Linked DNA regions of Lepisosteus oculatus. The protein of the gene in region 1 interacts with the protein of each later gene in a pairwise test. Links are inferred from orthologs where the notes say so. Each region holds a gene or a part of one and is shown in the gene's direction. Other genes may lie near its edges.

Evidence for each region. The genes of interacting proteins can lie anywhere in the genome.
Region 2: the proteins of edc3 (region 1) and annexin A10 interact in binary tests that used the Homo sapiens proteins (3 or more experiments, as listed by UniProt). The link is inferred for Lepisosteus oculatus from reciprocal best matches to the Homo sapiens genes EDC3 and ANXA10.

What each region holds. Positions count from the first base shown.
Region 1 is NC_090700.1:56,696,009-56,703,978, reverse strand, and holds the start of edc3 (enhancer of mRNA-decapping protein 3), read left to right. Parts: upstream 1-4,960; 5' UTR 4,961-5,102; intron 5,103-5,494; exon of another isoform or gene 5,495-6,339; intron 6,340-6,614; 5' UTR 6,615-6,620; coding exon 6,621-6,784; intron 6,785-7,970. Other genes in the region: cyp1a (cytochrome P450 1A1), read left to right, coding at 32-121, 280-403, 945-1,031, 1,617-1,911. UniProt on the Homo sapiens protein: Binds single-stranded RNA. Involved in the process of mRNA degradation and in the positive regulation of mRNA decapping. May play a role in spermiogenesis and oogenesis.
Region 2 is NC_090696.1:14,026,961-14,034,529, reverse strand, and holds the start of annexin A10, read left to right. Parts: upstream 1-4,550; coding exon 4,551-4,622; intron 4,623-4,959; coding exon 4,960-5,041; intron 5,042-6,143; coding exon 6,144-6,238; intron 6,239-7,569.

The sequences.
Region 1 (7,970 bases):
CATCAGGCTCTGTCTTCCTCCTCAACCCCAGGGTTTGACACCATTAGCACTGCACTCTCCTGGTCTCTCATGTACTTGGTGGCCTATCCTGGAATTCAGGAAAAGATCCAGAAAGAGCTGGGTAAGTTGAGCCTTTTTTGTTTAATCCAATTCTGCCTCCTTCTGCTCTCGCCTCTGGACTACGTGACTGTGCTGCTCTGGGGCTCTGCACACCCCAGCTGCCCCTCAGCTTGTGTGGTGAACGCCCTGGCTCAGCTGGTTCTGTGATCTCCCCTGCAGATGAGAACGTGGGCAGGGAGCGCGAAGTCAGGCTGTCGGACAAGCCCATCCTTCCCTACCTGGAGGCCTTCATCCTGGAGATGTTCCGGCACTCCTCCTTCCTGCCCTTCACCATCCCGCACTGGTGAGGACCCCTCCGGGGCCGGGACACAATCCCGGCACCCCTTGATGGGCGAGAGGGAATTCACATCCTAAACTGAAGAATGTCCCAGAAACCTCTTTCTCTTGTTAATTGTATAAACTACTAAAGCAGCTGACATATCTAAGATGTTAACAATCTGTAACTGGCCATCCAGCCTCTGAGAGGTCGCAGCAATGCGGGAGTCGAAAGCGACTCGCACGCATTATTGTTCAGGAAAGGTGGTTGATTTAATCAAAGTGCTTTTGTATAAATGTAGCAAATTATATTTTAAAAACTGCAAATACATTTCACCCTTAATCTGTTTAACATTGAAAAATATCTTATTGAAACCTATCGCATTAAATAGGCAAACACTCCAATCAGACCAATAACACAATTTTCACAAGTAATCTTAATACGATGAACTTTAAGAGGTGTTTTGCTGTTGGACAAATAAGAATATAATATATGTATAAGAAGTCTGCTTTACTCCCCTGTTGTGAGTGATCATGACCTCAGTTTACGGCCTGCTTCTCCCTTCCAGCACCACTAAGGACACCGTCCTCAACGGCTTCTACATCGCCAAGGATACCTGTGTCTTTATTAACCAGTGGCAGATCAACCATGACCCGTGAGTGTGGCTTTCTGCAGTGGACCATACCTGAAGGCCTTTGCTATTGGATTTTTAAGATATTTAAGTAGAACAAAAGTAATCTTAATCAGCATTATAAACATTATTTTTAATGAACTGAACAGCTAAATAATATCTGCAAGCACTTCTAGTTGGATTTCCATAATTGACATAAAACAGTTATTTCTATGGTTTTGGCAGAGGTTGTCTAATACAGGTATTCATTCAGCACAGCTTTAAATAAAACCAAACTGTTCAAACTCTGGGACTTAGAACCAGGTACAATTTCACCTGCTGCGACAACAAGAACAATGTGCAAGATGATTTTTAAGGAAACTTTGTGAAGGCAGTCTCGATTATTTAAAGGTCCAGGTCAAGTGTGCTAATGTAGGCATCAAAATTACTTCTTTAGTAATCTACAATTTCAAGCCTTTTGCCGGGTCTTCAGGACACAGAACATACAGGACAAAAGTAGCACAGAAGTGAAATGCTATGAAAAGCTGGTAGTGCATCACCCTTTAAATCCATTCAGAAAAGTAAGTTGGCTGCCCTGTTTCAAGTTGAGCCTGTTTTTTCTTTCATTAGAATCACGTGGAAGGACCCCTCCTCCTTCAGCCCAGAGCGCTTCCTGGACGCTGAGGGCATGACTGTGAACAAGATGGAGGCGGAGAAGGTGATGGTGTTCGGGATGGGCAAGCGGCGCTGCATTGGGGAGTCCATCGGGCGCTCCGAGGTCTTCCTCTTCCTGGCCATCCTCCTGCAGAAGCTCACATTCCACAGCCTCCCCGACCACGAGCTGGACATGACGCCCGAGTACGGCCTCACCATGAAGCACAAGCGCTGCCACCTGCGTGCCAGCCTGAGAGTGCGCGCGGAGTGAGCTCCTTGGCGGCCGTGGAGCCCGCAGTGCACCTCGCCGCGCTGGGAGCGATGGCTGTTCCGTGTCTAGCTGTTCCTGGAGGTTGATAGCGTTGAGCTGCTGACGCAGCGGTCTGGCTTTCAAACAGGAGCTATGTGTCTTCGACTTGAGACTAGAATGCCAGAAGAAGCCAATACAAAGTACACAACAGATTTCTTAAATTGTAAAGGGCTGCTTTTCAAAAGAAAAGCCAAAATGTAATTGCAAGCAACTGTGTGAGAATTAATTCTAACTGAAGCTCCAGTTGACTTGAATCTGAACTTCCAAACCAGTTCTCAAAAGAAAAATAACTTTATAGTTTCAGTACAGCAGGAGGTCTGTAAGAATGTGTGAAAGCTGACTTCAGAGATGGCTGATCAGTTTGTAGTGACTTATCTCATTCTGTATATGAGTGGTTCCATCAGGTAGAACTGATGGGGAAAAATAAAATTAAAAACAGATGTCTGCCTTCAAAAGTGTATAAAATGGAACCCATCTGTTATTATTACTCTGATATTTAAATGTTGAAACTAGGGATTTTTAGCTTTGTAGGAATTGCTGTAAATCTCTTATTTGGGTTTTGCTCCTTTATCAGAAATAACTCATCAAAAGAGTTCTGTGCTGCCTCAGATCAAAAGCTTCCAGTTTGTGCGCATTTCTAAAACTGCTTTGCACCAGTTTCAATGTTGTTGTCTTATTCCTCTTGTTATGATAGGTAAGGGGATATTTTCAGTTTTTAATCTGAATTTAGGTCTTAAATCAAAGTTGCAAATGGATTTTCATTGTATTCTTTATTTAGTTGAATACGTTTTGCTACTTGTATCCAAACGCAGATTTATGGCACGTGATTTGCTTTTTGCCTTTACACCGGTTTGTAACCTGTTCTGGTGATGTGGAAGAGCTTTGTTATTCGGTTGTCTGTAATTGTATACAACTCAAAGTTAAGCCCCAGAAACAATGGACACTGTATAGGAAATATACTTTGTGTCTTAGGCGCCTTTCGAACAAATCTTTTTTTTTTTAACCTGTATATGTAGAATGTAGAGTTATTTGTGAAAGATTCAATATTGACCACAAGTGTCACACTAGCCATCCCAGGTTTGAGGTCTCTCGTCTTTTTTGCCATATATTTATATGTGGAGTAACATATTGATGCTTTGTCTGCCAGGAGGGGCATTTATCCCAGAATGTGACAGTGTACTTAACCAAACAACACTTACCTATTTAAGGGCTTTTACAGGTCCTGAACAAAATATCAGTTTTTGTACATGTAACAAATTGTGGGATGAGGGACTGAATTATACTGTACCTTATTGACTTAAAAATAGCTTTTATTATTTTCTGTCTAAAAACATATTCTAGCCAATTGTACAGCCATTTGTATTGTTAACAGGTGTATCTGTGAATTTTATTACGCAATCATGAAGGACCTTTTTCCAAGCTGTTGCAGTTACGCTGATCTTGTAGAACAAAATATATGCAAGTTATGGTAATTTCTTTTTAAATGATTTTGGTTTGTGCTTGCTTATATCAAGCTATTTTCTCTCATTCATGTATCAAGCTTACAGCATGTATAAGAGGAGTTCCTGTTTTTTTAAAAACATTTAATCTCTGTGAGATAATAAATGGGATAAAGTAATAAATTGGATGGAAATAATAAACCTTTTGAACATGAACCCGGTCTTTTTTATTTCTTATTTTTATAGACATACAATTATATTGTGTAGCACTGATACTAAATAGGTTAGTTAAATACATTTTGACTTGCATTTTCATTCTCAAATGTGACAGTCAACATTTTCACATTTAAATATTTAATCTAGCACATAAACTATATTGCATCTTCTAATATCAGACCCATATGATCTCAACTATATATTCCAATGTTTACAGTTCGTTTTATAGCATGTACAAATATTTACATTCTTCTGATGCAATATTCTTGTCAGTGTCACTTTTTGATTTGTGCATTAAGTTCATTTATTTTTAACCTCAGGTTTCTTAATGTAATTTGTAGTGTGAGCTGTCTTTTTTTCTTAATTTCTTTATTACTCCATTTCAGCCATATTTCCCTAGCTTTAAATATTTCTTTCTCGGCACCATCCATTTGAATACCTGAATCATATCACGGTGTAAACCTAGAAATCGTGTCCTATAACATTTGTATTTCACGCCAATTAAATTAGATTTTTCAAACTTTAAAACAAAGGGGAACGTGTTTTGTATTCTGAATCTTTCAGCAGAACACTAACCATTTACAGATAATTTGACATGAAGTTGTGTTGGGCTGTGTGTCTTCTCTCTACCCTTCCGAGTGGTTTCATTTCATATCCTGTTCCATATTCTCAGCCTTCAATGTGACAGATCATCACGGGTTTCTGTCCTCCAACACGTAAAGACGCACCAACATTTCAAAAACTGTTTCTAACCAAAGAATTATTTCAATACGAGAAAAAGAAACGTCAGTCTTTCTCATTTGATGCGAGATTTGTTGATCATTTTTATTTTATTCTGCTACAGTAGAGAAAATAGTTCGGTAACCGTAAAACAGAATAAATGCATAATATCACAGAGTTTAAAAGTGTGTACGTTTTTTCGACTTGCTTCCCGCACGACACTTGAACCAAATTTCTTATTCCATGTAGCCTATGCATTCTATAAAGTATCTTCTTAAACTCATACTGCATACATTTTATAAGAGTATATACCACATTTTTTCTCATCTATATTTGATCCCTTTGATCAACAAATATTCTCTTTGTTCGTATGCCTATTTCAGTGGTCAAAAACATGGGAAATGTTTATCTGGAGGGCCCATGAAGTCAGGTGGCTAGCTTTCAGTAGCATCTAGCTACAGACGGCTCACATCCCTGAGAACACAGTCTGTGTGCAGACGCAAAGAACAGATGCAGGAATAGTTACTACCGAAATTACAGAATTCATCCCCACGCGAGCAGCCTGTCTCTTTCAGCCAATGACTGGAAAGGACAGGACTCGCAGGAAGTGACGTACACAGTCGCAGAGAGGCCTTCGGGAAGTGACCCGCAGCGGGAGAAGAACTGTGGTGCTTATTAAAGCGGAGCCTTCGGGGTCTGGAAACATACAGAATAGAATTTATATTTCAGTTAAACGCAGATTTGTATTCATTTGTTTTTGAGAGGAGCAAAAAGCAGGTATTTCGTCTGTTTTTTATTTTAGAACATGGGTTAGAGTTATGGTCTTTTGTGGTTAAAATGGAAAGACGTAGCCATAGGACTCACGAGCTGTGTAGTAGTAGCACACAACGTAAAGTTTTAATGCTGTAGTGAGCCCTGGTTGACTACATTCAATTTTCAACTATTGACATATACACGCAGTTTAGTCAGGAACAGTCCCGTCTGTTCCTTGGTTTATTTACCAGGTCCGTGTTTTAGTCCTGCTCGCTGATGTGAAGGCCCTTCTCTCGGCAACTCCTCTTCATAGTAGTATAAGAAAGTTGAGTTTTTTTTTTAAATAAAAGGTTTAAATATCTCCAGGCAAAACATTTGCGTGATGCTGAAGCAGTACGTCAAGCAATGCACATGTACATCAATACAATTGTGTTGTAAACTTTTGTAGTCCTAATATGCAGTATAAGAATATGAGGGTTTGTTGGACTCGGGGGTGCATGTGGTAAACTGATGGTTATATGGTCTTGCAGTACAATAGTGGATACAGCAATCTTCTGTTGTCTTGTACACTCGGAGGCTGCTATTGCTGAAACCCTTTGCAAGGGAGTTTAGAGGATTCTTTCGAACATGGGTAAGCAGTCAAGAATCAACCCAGTTCTGGATGCAGTCTCTTCACCACCAACATAAAACTCGAATCCAGTGGATACGATTTTGCATTTTTTCCCTTTAGATTAAGAAAATCATGTTTGGTGCATTTAGTTGCAAAACAAAAGTAATGATTGTTTTGTTTAGTACTTCACTGTTTTTTTTTATTTTTCACCTGTTAAATTCAATAGAGATCATTCTGATTTACATTGACCATGCAGAAACCTGTTTATACAGCAGGGGATTTACTGGGGCAGTGCGAGGGACGTGGAAGGGTTGCAGGTGCGAAGGCAGAGCTTCACCTGAGAAACCAAGACTGGTCTGGAGTCCAGAGCCTTAGCTGCAACCCCAGGCACCTGCCTCTGTGTTGTTTGAAGTGATTGTTGGCGATTTTGGTTTTATTTAAATTGTGAGGTGTATGAAGTGCAGGGAGAATTCAGAGTGAAGTTTAAGCATGGTATACAGTGTAATATGATTAAATCCAAAAAATGTTCTGGGGGCGGAGTGTGTGTTTGGACCTTTATAACACCCAGGGAACTCTGAGTGGAACTTTGCATTGCATTTGTTACCTGCTCTCAGTATTCTGGCATCAGGCTGCTTCATTAACCTCCCACAGGTAAGAGAAAATAAGATGCTGCACCAAGAAAATTAGAGATCCAGGGGAACGTGCTTGATAGAGCAACTCTGCTGACAAGACACTTATAAAACTTTCAGGTTGCCTACGATATGGTAGGCAACTATATATATTCTGTATTGTAACTACTGTGACAAATTAAGTTCCCGTGTTTAAGACCATTTGTTTAACAGGAATACTGTTTTGGGTTCAGTTCTGTAGTGCACGATGCACAGAAGCTCCGACAGTTGGATGAAAAGCCACTTGTTGTGTTGCAGGCCAGGATGGCGGCGGACTGGCTGGGGAGCCTGGTGTCCATTAACTGTGGGGAGACGCTGGGGATGTACCAGGGAGAGGTGTCTGCTGTGGACCAGGCCAGCCAGACCATCTCCCTCAGACAGCCCTTTCACAATGGGATCAAGTGCCCGGTGCCTGAAGTCACCTTTAGGTGAGGTTCCAGGAGGCATTGTCTCAGACTACTTTTCACTCAGGTTTCAATCAAAAGGAGCTTACACAATATTTAACTTCAGTGTTAGTCTCTTTCTCACTTGTACGTTTCCATTATGATCTACTGCCATTATGTAAACTTAAGAGCAGACAATGTTTCCAAAAATCCTTGACGAATTTCCTTATTTTGTTAAATTCTTACATTCATTTCATTGACATTTTTTAACAACATTGGATTCTTTTCTGAACCTAAATATGAATTTTTGATTATTTCTGTTTGGAAAAAGCGGGATGATTTTAATCTGAATTATCTGTATTTTAGATACTTTATTGATCCCTTGAGGGAAATTGGAGTGCAACAGCAGCTTAACACAGACAACACAGACACAGTGTAACGAATGATACAATAATAATAATACAATACAATCAGTACAGTGCGAAGTGCACTAAGAAGAGTTACTCACAGTCCAGAACACACAAAGAACAGAACAGTACACAAAAAAGTCGTATTGCACAATATGATTATAAATATAAATGTATTGCTCAGGTCCCTGGCATATATTGCACAAAAACAGTTTTAAACGGGAAAAGAAAAAGAACAGATGTATCAGTTTACTGTTCAGTCCAGAAACGTCACTGTCAATGTTGCCTCTGCCCAGACGCAAGGTGGATGCGTCGTACAGTCTTATGGCAGAAGGCAAGAATGACCTCCTGTAGCGCTCCCTGTCGCACCGTAGATGGATCAGTCTATTGCTGAACGTGCTCTTCATTTCTGCAAGCCTGTCATAGAGGGGATGGGAGACGTTGTCCATGATGGCCTCTAGTTTGGACACCATTCTCCTCTCGGTCACTACCTCCAGGGGGTCCAGGCCAGACCCAATGACAGAGCTTGCTCTCCTGATGAGCTTGTTCAGCCTTTTAGAATCCACTGCTCTAATCCCAGAGCCCCAGCATACCACCATGTAGAAAATGACGCTCCCTACCACCGACTGATAGAACAGATGTAGCATTTTACTACACACATTGAAGGACCTGAGCCTCCTCAAGAAGTAAAGTCGGCTCTGACCCTTCTTAGACCACTCCCATGGATGTAGACAGGAGTAGGTTGGACCCTCTTCCTCCTGAAGTGTATCACCAACTCCTTAGTCTTTGCTACATTCAGTTGCAGGTGGTTCTCCCCACACCAC
Region 2 (7,569 bases), on another chromosome or scaffold:
GCAGGTGATACAGCGAGCTCTTTTGCAAGGGAAAGTGCCTGGTGTGGATGGTTGCTGAGGGCGGTCAAGGGAGCTGTGGACAAGGAGGTTACGCAGATTAGGTGGTCGGCGATATGAGATGATAGGGCGATCAGAAAAGAGGGCCCCAATGGAGGGATCATCCTGTAGGATGGAAATGTTCTGGTTAATGGTCCTTGGGATAGGAAGTGTGTTAGGGTGGTAAGGAAGCACCAAAGGAATGCGGTTGTTACGGAGGGAGTTCCTGATCGGGTTGATGGTCCGGGGGGTGTTTTTGGCTCGGGCAAGGGCCCTGTCAATCACACTGCTGGGGTATCCTCTGTTCATAAAAAATGAGTACATTTCGAGGGCTTGGTTTTCGAAGTCGATGTCATCGCTGCATAATCGTCGTAACCTAAGGAACTGTGAAAAAGGAAGAGAGTTTTTAGTGTGGTTGGGGGGGTGTGGTTGGGGGTAGTTGATAGACAAGTGGATGTCTAGAAACGGAAGAGTGGTGGAAGAGTGGTGGAAGAAATGTTAACCGTATATTTGAGGGACGGGTGGAAGTTGGTGAAATGGTGCAGGAAGAATTCAAGCTGATCGTTGGAGCATGACTGAATATACTGCTTTTGATTGTTTATCTGAAATCTCAATAATCACACATTCAACTCAAGGAAAATACATTATTTAAAATATCACTCAGTTAAAGAGATGTATCCCTGCTGCATTAGAATTTCAGTGTGTTAAAATTATGATATTGCACATGTTATTATATGTTTCTGGACTTATACTGTATATACTGTAGTGTTCTTTTAACAGTCTTGTTTCAGCCGACCTTGAAGATGTGACTCTCTGAAATGGGAAGCAAAAATAGAAACTGTTCCACTTTTCAGATATGATACAATTGGTTGTATGGAGAAGCAGATTACAGACAAAAAATCTAAACACTTGAACCCCCTGCTAAGTATGCATGGGATGTTCACATCTTGTCCTTTATTTTCACAATTTCACAATTCTGCCATTTAAAGAAAGTAATGGGTTACATAATAACACGTCTACTTACACAGAGATGAAAGTGCTCCTATATCTGACCTGTAGAATTCTATGTTTCAGGTGCTCTTTAGAGTGCTGAATATTTACTCATCTTCCTTGTTTGGTTCTGATTTGTTCTCTGGAAACACCTTTGAAAGACTTTGTAGCTGTACTTATCTAGTAAATGGAGCTCTATTACTGATGCAGCAACTTCCAAGAAAGCACACCAAAATTCTTTTGAATAAAATTCTCAAACTGTTACAAAATTATATTGTTAATGAAAATATTATAGATTTGAGAAGCATAAAGCTATGTCTCAGACATACTGTATGATTATCTTTATTGAAAATATTTTTTCATATATAATAAGATATATAATAGATATAAAGATAAAGAGTAAGACATCTATTAATGTAAAAAACAAAAAACTATATTTTTGTCTCAAGATTTTTTAAAAAAGTACTCAATTCTGTACTTCTGACGTGAGCAACCAGTCTCCATATATACGAAACGTCACCCTCTCTTCTCCCTCGTTCGTTTTCTGCATCCCTCCTCCACCTTTGCAACTGCCCAATTGGTCGCATGTGGGTCCTATCCTCCCTGTCCAATGGCCGTCAGCCAAGTGGGTTAAGCCAAGTCTTCATATCCCAATAAATGATTCTAATTTCTCTCAACCTTTCGGCTGCTGTCATTCCTCGTGAAAGTATTGTGTTGCATTTGTCATTATCAGTCACACTGCTCATTTTCACTTGATCCCTGTACAACGTTTATAAAAGAGTAGTACAGTAGATAAAAAAAATCTAAAATCATACTACAGATATTTATACAATGGAATAGGTCATATTTGTTAAGTATACGTTTTGTGTGCAAATGTGTTTTTAAGATACAGGACAAACAGTATGTATTTGGATGCACAATACAATATCCTGAGAAATACATTCATCTTCATGTTAAACTAAGAAAGATTAAACTTTATATTTTGATGTGTACAAAAACTGACTGATTATTTGAGCATTTTTAAAAGAAAGAAATACCTTTACCAGTGTGCTTCAATTATTATTATTATTATTATTATTATTATTATTATTATTATTATTATTATTAGACATTAAGGCCCTATTCTTTAACAAAAACTATAGAGCCATGTACTTAAAAGTCTTGCATAAATTTATCCGTCACTTACCCATCATTTCATATTGCATGTTAATACTGTATACAGTATACCAAAAGGTCTTACTGTTTTTTCTAAGAACATGCCCTTGTGCTTTTAGAATAGACTTATGACGTTGAATGGTTCGAGAATAATGAATAGGTCTCTTGTTAAGTTACAGAACAGGTGTAGACTGAATAAATATTTGGACCAAGATTCACAATCAGTAGTCTGATAGCATATTTTCCGTCTTCACGAGTTTAACACTGATATTTTATTTTATGGTATAAGGAATAAGGTGTGTGGTTGTAAAATACAGTAAAAAAGCTGAGAACATTAAATATTTCACTGAGCATCGTCTTTCTGTCTTTTTAAGGGAAGCTAAAAAAGGATGTTTTCGGCTGGATATGTAAGTTGCTTTTTTCTCTTTTCTTTTCATTGGATACATTTAGCGTGCTTATTTCCTGCACATTCATTTTCTAAAATAGACTGTATGTTTTAAAACTATCCCTATTCTCATTACAACTAAACTGAAATAATAATTAGTTTTTAAAAAATAAAGGTGAAGAAAGATACATTACCGCACACGTCATAGATACTGCATGAAAACATTTTCAGCTGTATTTTGTACTACATCTGCCATAAAAGTTACAACTTTAAACTTGAAAAAAATGAACCAAATACCAAGTGCTCAAAATGTTATATTATTTTTCAATGTCTCACACATCCAAATACATAAATCAACATGTATCTCTTTTTATATCTGGACTGCTTTTTTACCCAGCTCAAGACCAATCTGTTTATCTGTAATTTCTCATTTTAATTATATTCCTCAGTCACATGTACACCCTGTTGCATCAATGTGCTTAACTCTCAATACAACAAAGTGATTGGTTATACATGTACAGTATACCAATATATATCTTCATTTTTTGTCATCACTGTCTTGTATCCATGAAATCTGTATGATATTTTAATTCTGAGCAGTTTGGTCTGTCTAGAGAAGCATGTACATTGCATTTCTTGCTTGTGCAAGACTTATTGCCATTAACTTACCTTATTGCCATTTTATAAATTTATTATTGTATGTTGTTCCTGTCTAATATTATCTTACTATCATGGTCGTCGGTTCTGACTCCCGTGAAACACGTAGTTAAAGACACTATGCGAGACGACGGTATAATCCTGAAGTGACTGGAGTAGGGAGGTGTCATCAGGGAAGACGCAGTAGGATCAGGCTGGGTAGAAACACAGGGGATAGTGACGGCAAAGTCTTCTTGTCTGCAAAGTCTATGTGGTCTATGTGGTCATGTGAGACTCAACCAGATTATGTTGAGATGTTTTGTTTGAATTAGGTCCATAAACTCAGCTATGAAATGGTAATGGTACCCAATCAGTCCCAGAAAGGCCCATAATTGATTTTGGCCTTTGGCAAGGGACAAAACTTAAAAAATGTTTCAAATCTCAAGCTCAAGCCTAACCTAACGGTTCTTTACCCACTGTCCCAGATATTGAATCTAGGTGAAGTCAAGTCAACTTTTCCTGTGATGATCATATGACACTGACCTCTCTTAGCTACTTAGGACAGCTGGAAAGTGGGATAGATGCAATTCCCAAGTTTCACTAATATGTCTACATCATCACAGCAAGCTGTGGCATATTGAAAGTATGGTCACAACGGACAATCTATAACGTGCATGGATTGTAAAAAACCAGAAGGAGTTACAGAAGCAGTTGGTGACATTATGTGTGATCTCAGGGGAATCTGCATGTTAACTTTATTAAGATCTAGAATGAAAATATATTTTAAAAAATAGTGGACAGATTCAGGAATTTTAGCCACCTGTACCTGTGCTTCCATTTGATTGCAAAGGAAGTTCCCCGTGATGATGCCTACGTCCTATTTATCAAGAGGAGCACCAGGTGGAAAAGGGCTGAGGTGCATACATCAGTCTGAGTAGTGACACCCTGCCCTGCCTTTAACCCCTAATACAGTAGTCCCCTTTTTTCAGCTTCTTTTCTTTCCCTGCCTTTCTTTGTTTTTTTTGGGGGGTTTGGCTAAACAAAGAGACAAGGATTAAAAGTGCTCTAGGGCATCAGGTTCCAATCTTGGCCTGCATGATCTTCTAGAATATGGGGAAGTCTCAACTCACTATCATAAAAAGGAATTATGTGTCACAAAAAGAGCTAGCACTGGACCTCAGCCTGTATTTCTACAGTATGTTTTGCTCTTCATGGAACTGAAGCTTTACAGTTGGGCATTCTTTGCAATTACTATGCACACAAGTCACCTCACTTTTTTCCTCAGTGTCAAATTGAGTAGGGTCTACCAGAGAGTTTTCCAAGGTAGATTGTAGTCCCAGAGTCTGCTATGGCTTGGATTTGTTTCAATTTAGGGAAGTGGAGTCACTGGCTGCATTACTTGGAAAAGTACCTCTCCAAGGTAAGGGTCAATATCAATGTCTGAAAAATAATATAAGTAAGAATCATCTAAATAGGATAATTTAAAAATGATCATCTGAACACACAGCAGTACAAACAATAATCAACAGAAGGGACATTGCATATATAATTATTTTGTGTGATCAGGGACCTACAGTATAAAAACATCACATACTGTACTACTGTTAATTTGCACTTTGGTGAAAAAGACTTTGGTTCCCAAACCCCGAAAATCTGACATACATAGTCCTGAATACTTAAGAAATTGGAATCTATTTTCACTATACTGTAATTCATGTTTAGAAAAGTTTGGTCAAACTGTATTATTTTTATCACAGATACAAGGGACAATTTACCCAGCTCAAGATTTTAACCCTTGCAGGGATACAGAAGAGCTGTTTGGAGCTATTCAAGGTATGAGTAAGCAATTTAGTGAATAAAATTGTTTTTATCAAAAGTTCAAGAGGAAGTCAAACCCTAATCTCACCCACTTGTGCCACTCAAGTAGCTGACTGTTTTATTCAGCCAGGCAAGGTAAGCCAAAAAAGAAATATTAATTCAAAACAAGCCTTTGCTGTTCTTTAAATTAGGGTTTGGATGTACTACTGAAACATATTTAATGTCAAGAAGTGATACATCTTTTTTTACATATAAAATACATTTATATGTATTGAATGTTTTATAAATATGAATATGTTCCTTTACAAATATTTCAATTTTAGCAACCCTCAGGTTGATAGGATAACAAACAGTTCAGTAGTTTGGTTAGATCCTAATAAATGTGAGAGACAAGATGTGCAGAGTATAGTTGACATTACTCGCCTAGTCGAGGGAGTTTGGCAGCCTCATTTTAAGGGTGAGGCTACCCAGACACTCCCTCTGTATTGAGGGATACAAAAGAGTTGTACTGCAGGAAGTCCCACTTGTGAGATTTAGTGTACTGCGTATATGTGGGCAATTGTGCAAGATTGGGATCTAACATTCTTCTTTCTTCTAACTTTGTTATAATTCCATTAAACCATCTCATTTTAAAGAAAGTACATTCCCATGCCCTTGGAAAATACCTTGGGATAATTTTTTATAATAAATAAATCTTTGCAGTAATTTACAAGTGGTAAAAGGAAAATAGATGAGATACTGTATATGGTTGATAGAAAGCTCAAAGGTCAAGCAAACTCTGTGGTTTCTGACTTAAAGGAGAAAATTCAAAGGTCAATCAAAAGCTCCAGCTTTGCACTGTAGAGTTTTGTAGCAGCTGAAAAGACTAACATACATTATTTTGCTGTTACGTGATTCTGAAACTAAGGAGATTCGGGAAATTTTGTTAAAGAAAATTCCAGGACATCCATGGCTCCAGATCTCTAAAGTATCTCTGGATGTTAAATTAATTGGAGTAGAACACACCCTTGTAATCAAATCTTCTGGCAAAGTGGAATGGGTGACATTAAGACATTAAAAATCAGTAATAAAAATATTTACATTTTAAGCATTATTTAGTCTGGGATTCTTTTTTTATGTTCAGGATGCAATAAAGATGTGCTGATTGATATTCTGACTCAGCGCAGTAATGCACAGAGACAAGTAATTGCTGAGGCCTACAGGGAGATGTATGGTCGGGTAAGAAGATTTTTTATTTACTTTATTACTTCAACTACAAAGCAAAGCTACTGAGGGGATTTGCTTTGGTATAGTTGAGGTGCTCATTTGGAAGGGAGGTTGAGCCCTGCAGTCCAACTTCGTCAATTTTATGTCATTATCCAGCGATGATTAAGTCTTCTGCAAGCCACTATGAGACTTGTAATGTAAAATGATGAACAGCTCCGATGTTTCAGAGGAAAGCCCAACCACAAGTTGAGTAGACGTCTTCCAAGATTAATTATAGTAGTGAGGTTTAAAAATTATTTGAAAATTCCAAACTTCAAAAAACCTGCTTAATTCAGCACTATTTTGATTTGACTGGTAATATGAAATAAATGTACACAAAGATACAGAGGCGGAGGAAGGCTAGTGCATAAGATCAACTTTATAATACAATTCACAAGTATCATAAGTGATTAAGAGTATAATTTTGTTTCTGTAAATAAAAAACATTTCTTTTAACGATTCTTAAAGAAATGAAATGCCATCAATTGTTCAGAACTGCATGTGTGGAACTGCAGAAATAGAAATAAATACGTAAATAATAATAAATAATGAAAAAGTAAATAATTTCTGTTTTAGTTGTTCTTTTCTGCTTTTATTCTTACCTTTGAGAAATTAAATCACTTTATTGCTTTGTGAAACTCAGAAACAATACATGTGAATTAATACCAAACAGAGAAACAATGGCCATATTCACAGAAGATTTAAGTTGAAAATGTATTACTATTATTATTAGTTGTATTATTAGTATTAGTAGTATTATAATTATTATTTACAACATTTTCCAATGTCTTTTAATTATAAAGTTTTGTAAGAGCTGGTCCACAGTGTCCTAAATCATAAATCAATTATATTGACAGCCAGGGCAGCAGATTACATCAAGAAAGTCAGGTTTACTGTCTCCAACCTCTGCCGGTTTTCATGAACAAAACTATAAGTAGGGACATATTCTATGGTAAACTATATATATATATAGTTAAAAGTGAATAATTTAACATCAAAGGGATGCTATTAAAATCGTGCAATGCACCATTCAGATTCCTCAAATTTTACTTATGTTGTTAAAATAATGACTGATTAGAAATAAAAAAATGAAGCACTTGAAAAATTATACAAAATAGTCAGGGTGAATGTAACTTTAAGAGTGTCTTCTACATCATTGAGAACAGGAATCTTTGTTTGGGTACATATAAATATTTATTATAAAAATATATATATGCAATAGCACAGTACCTTCACATGGTCTAGAGGCAGAAAGGGTTTTACCACTTTTTTCACCCAGCAGGCTGGTCCTTTTTGATGAAAGG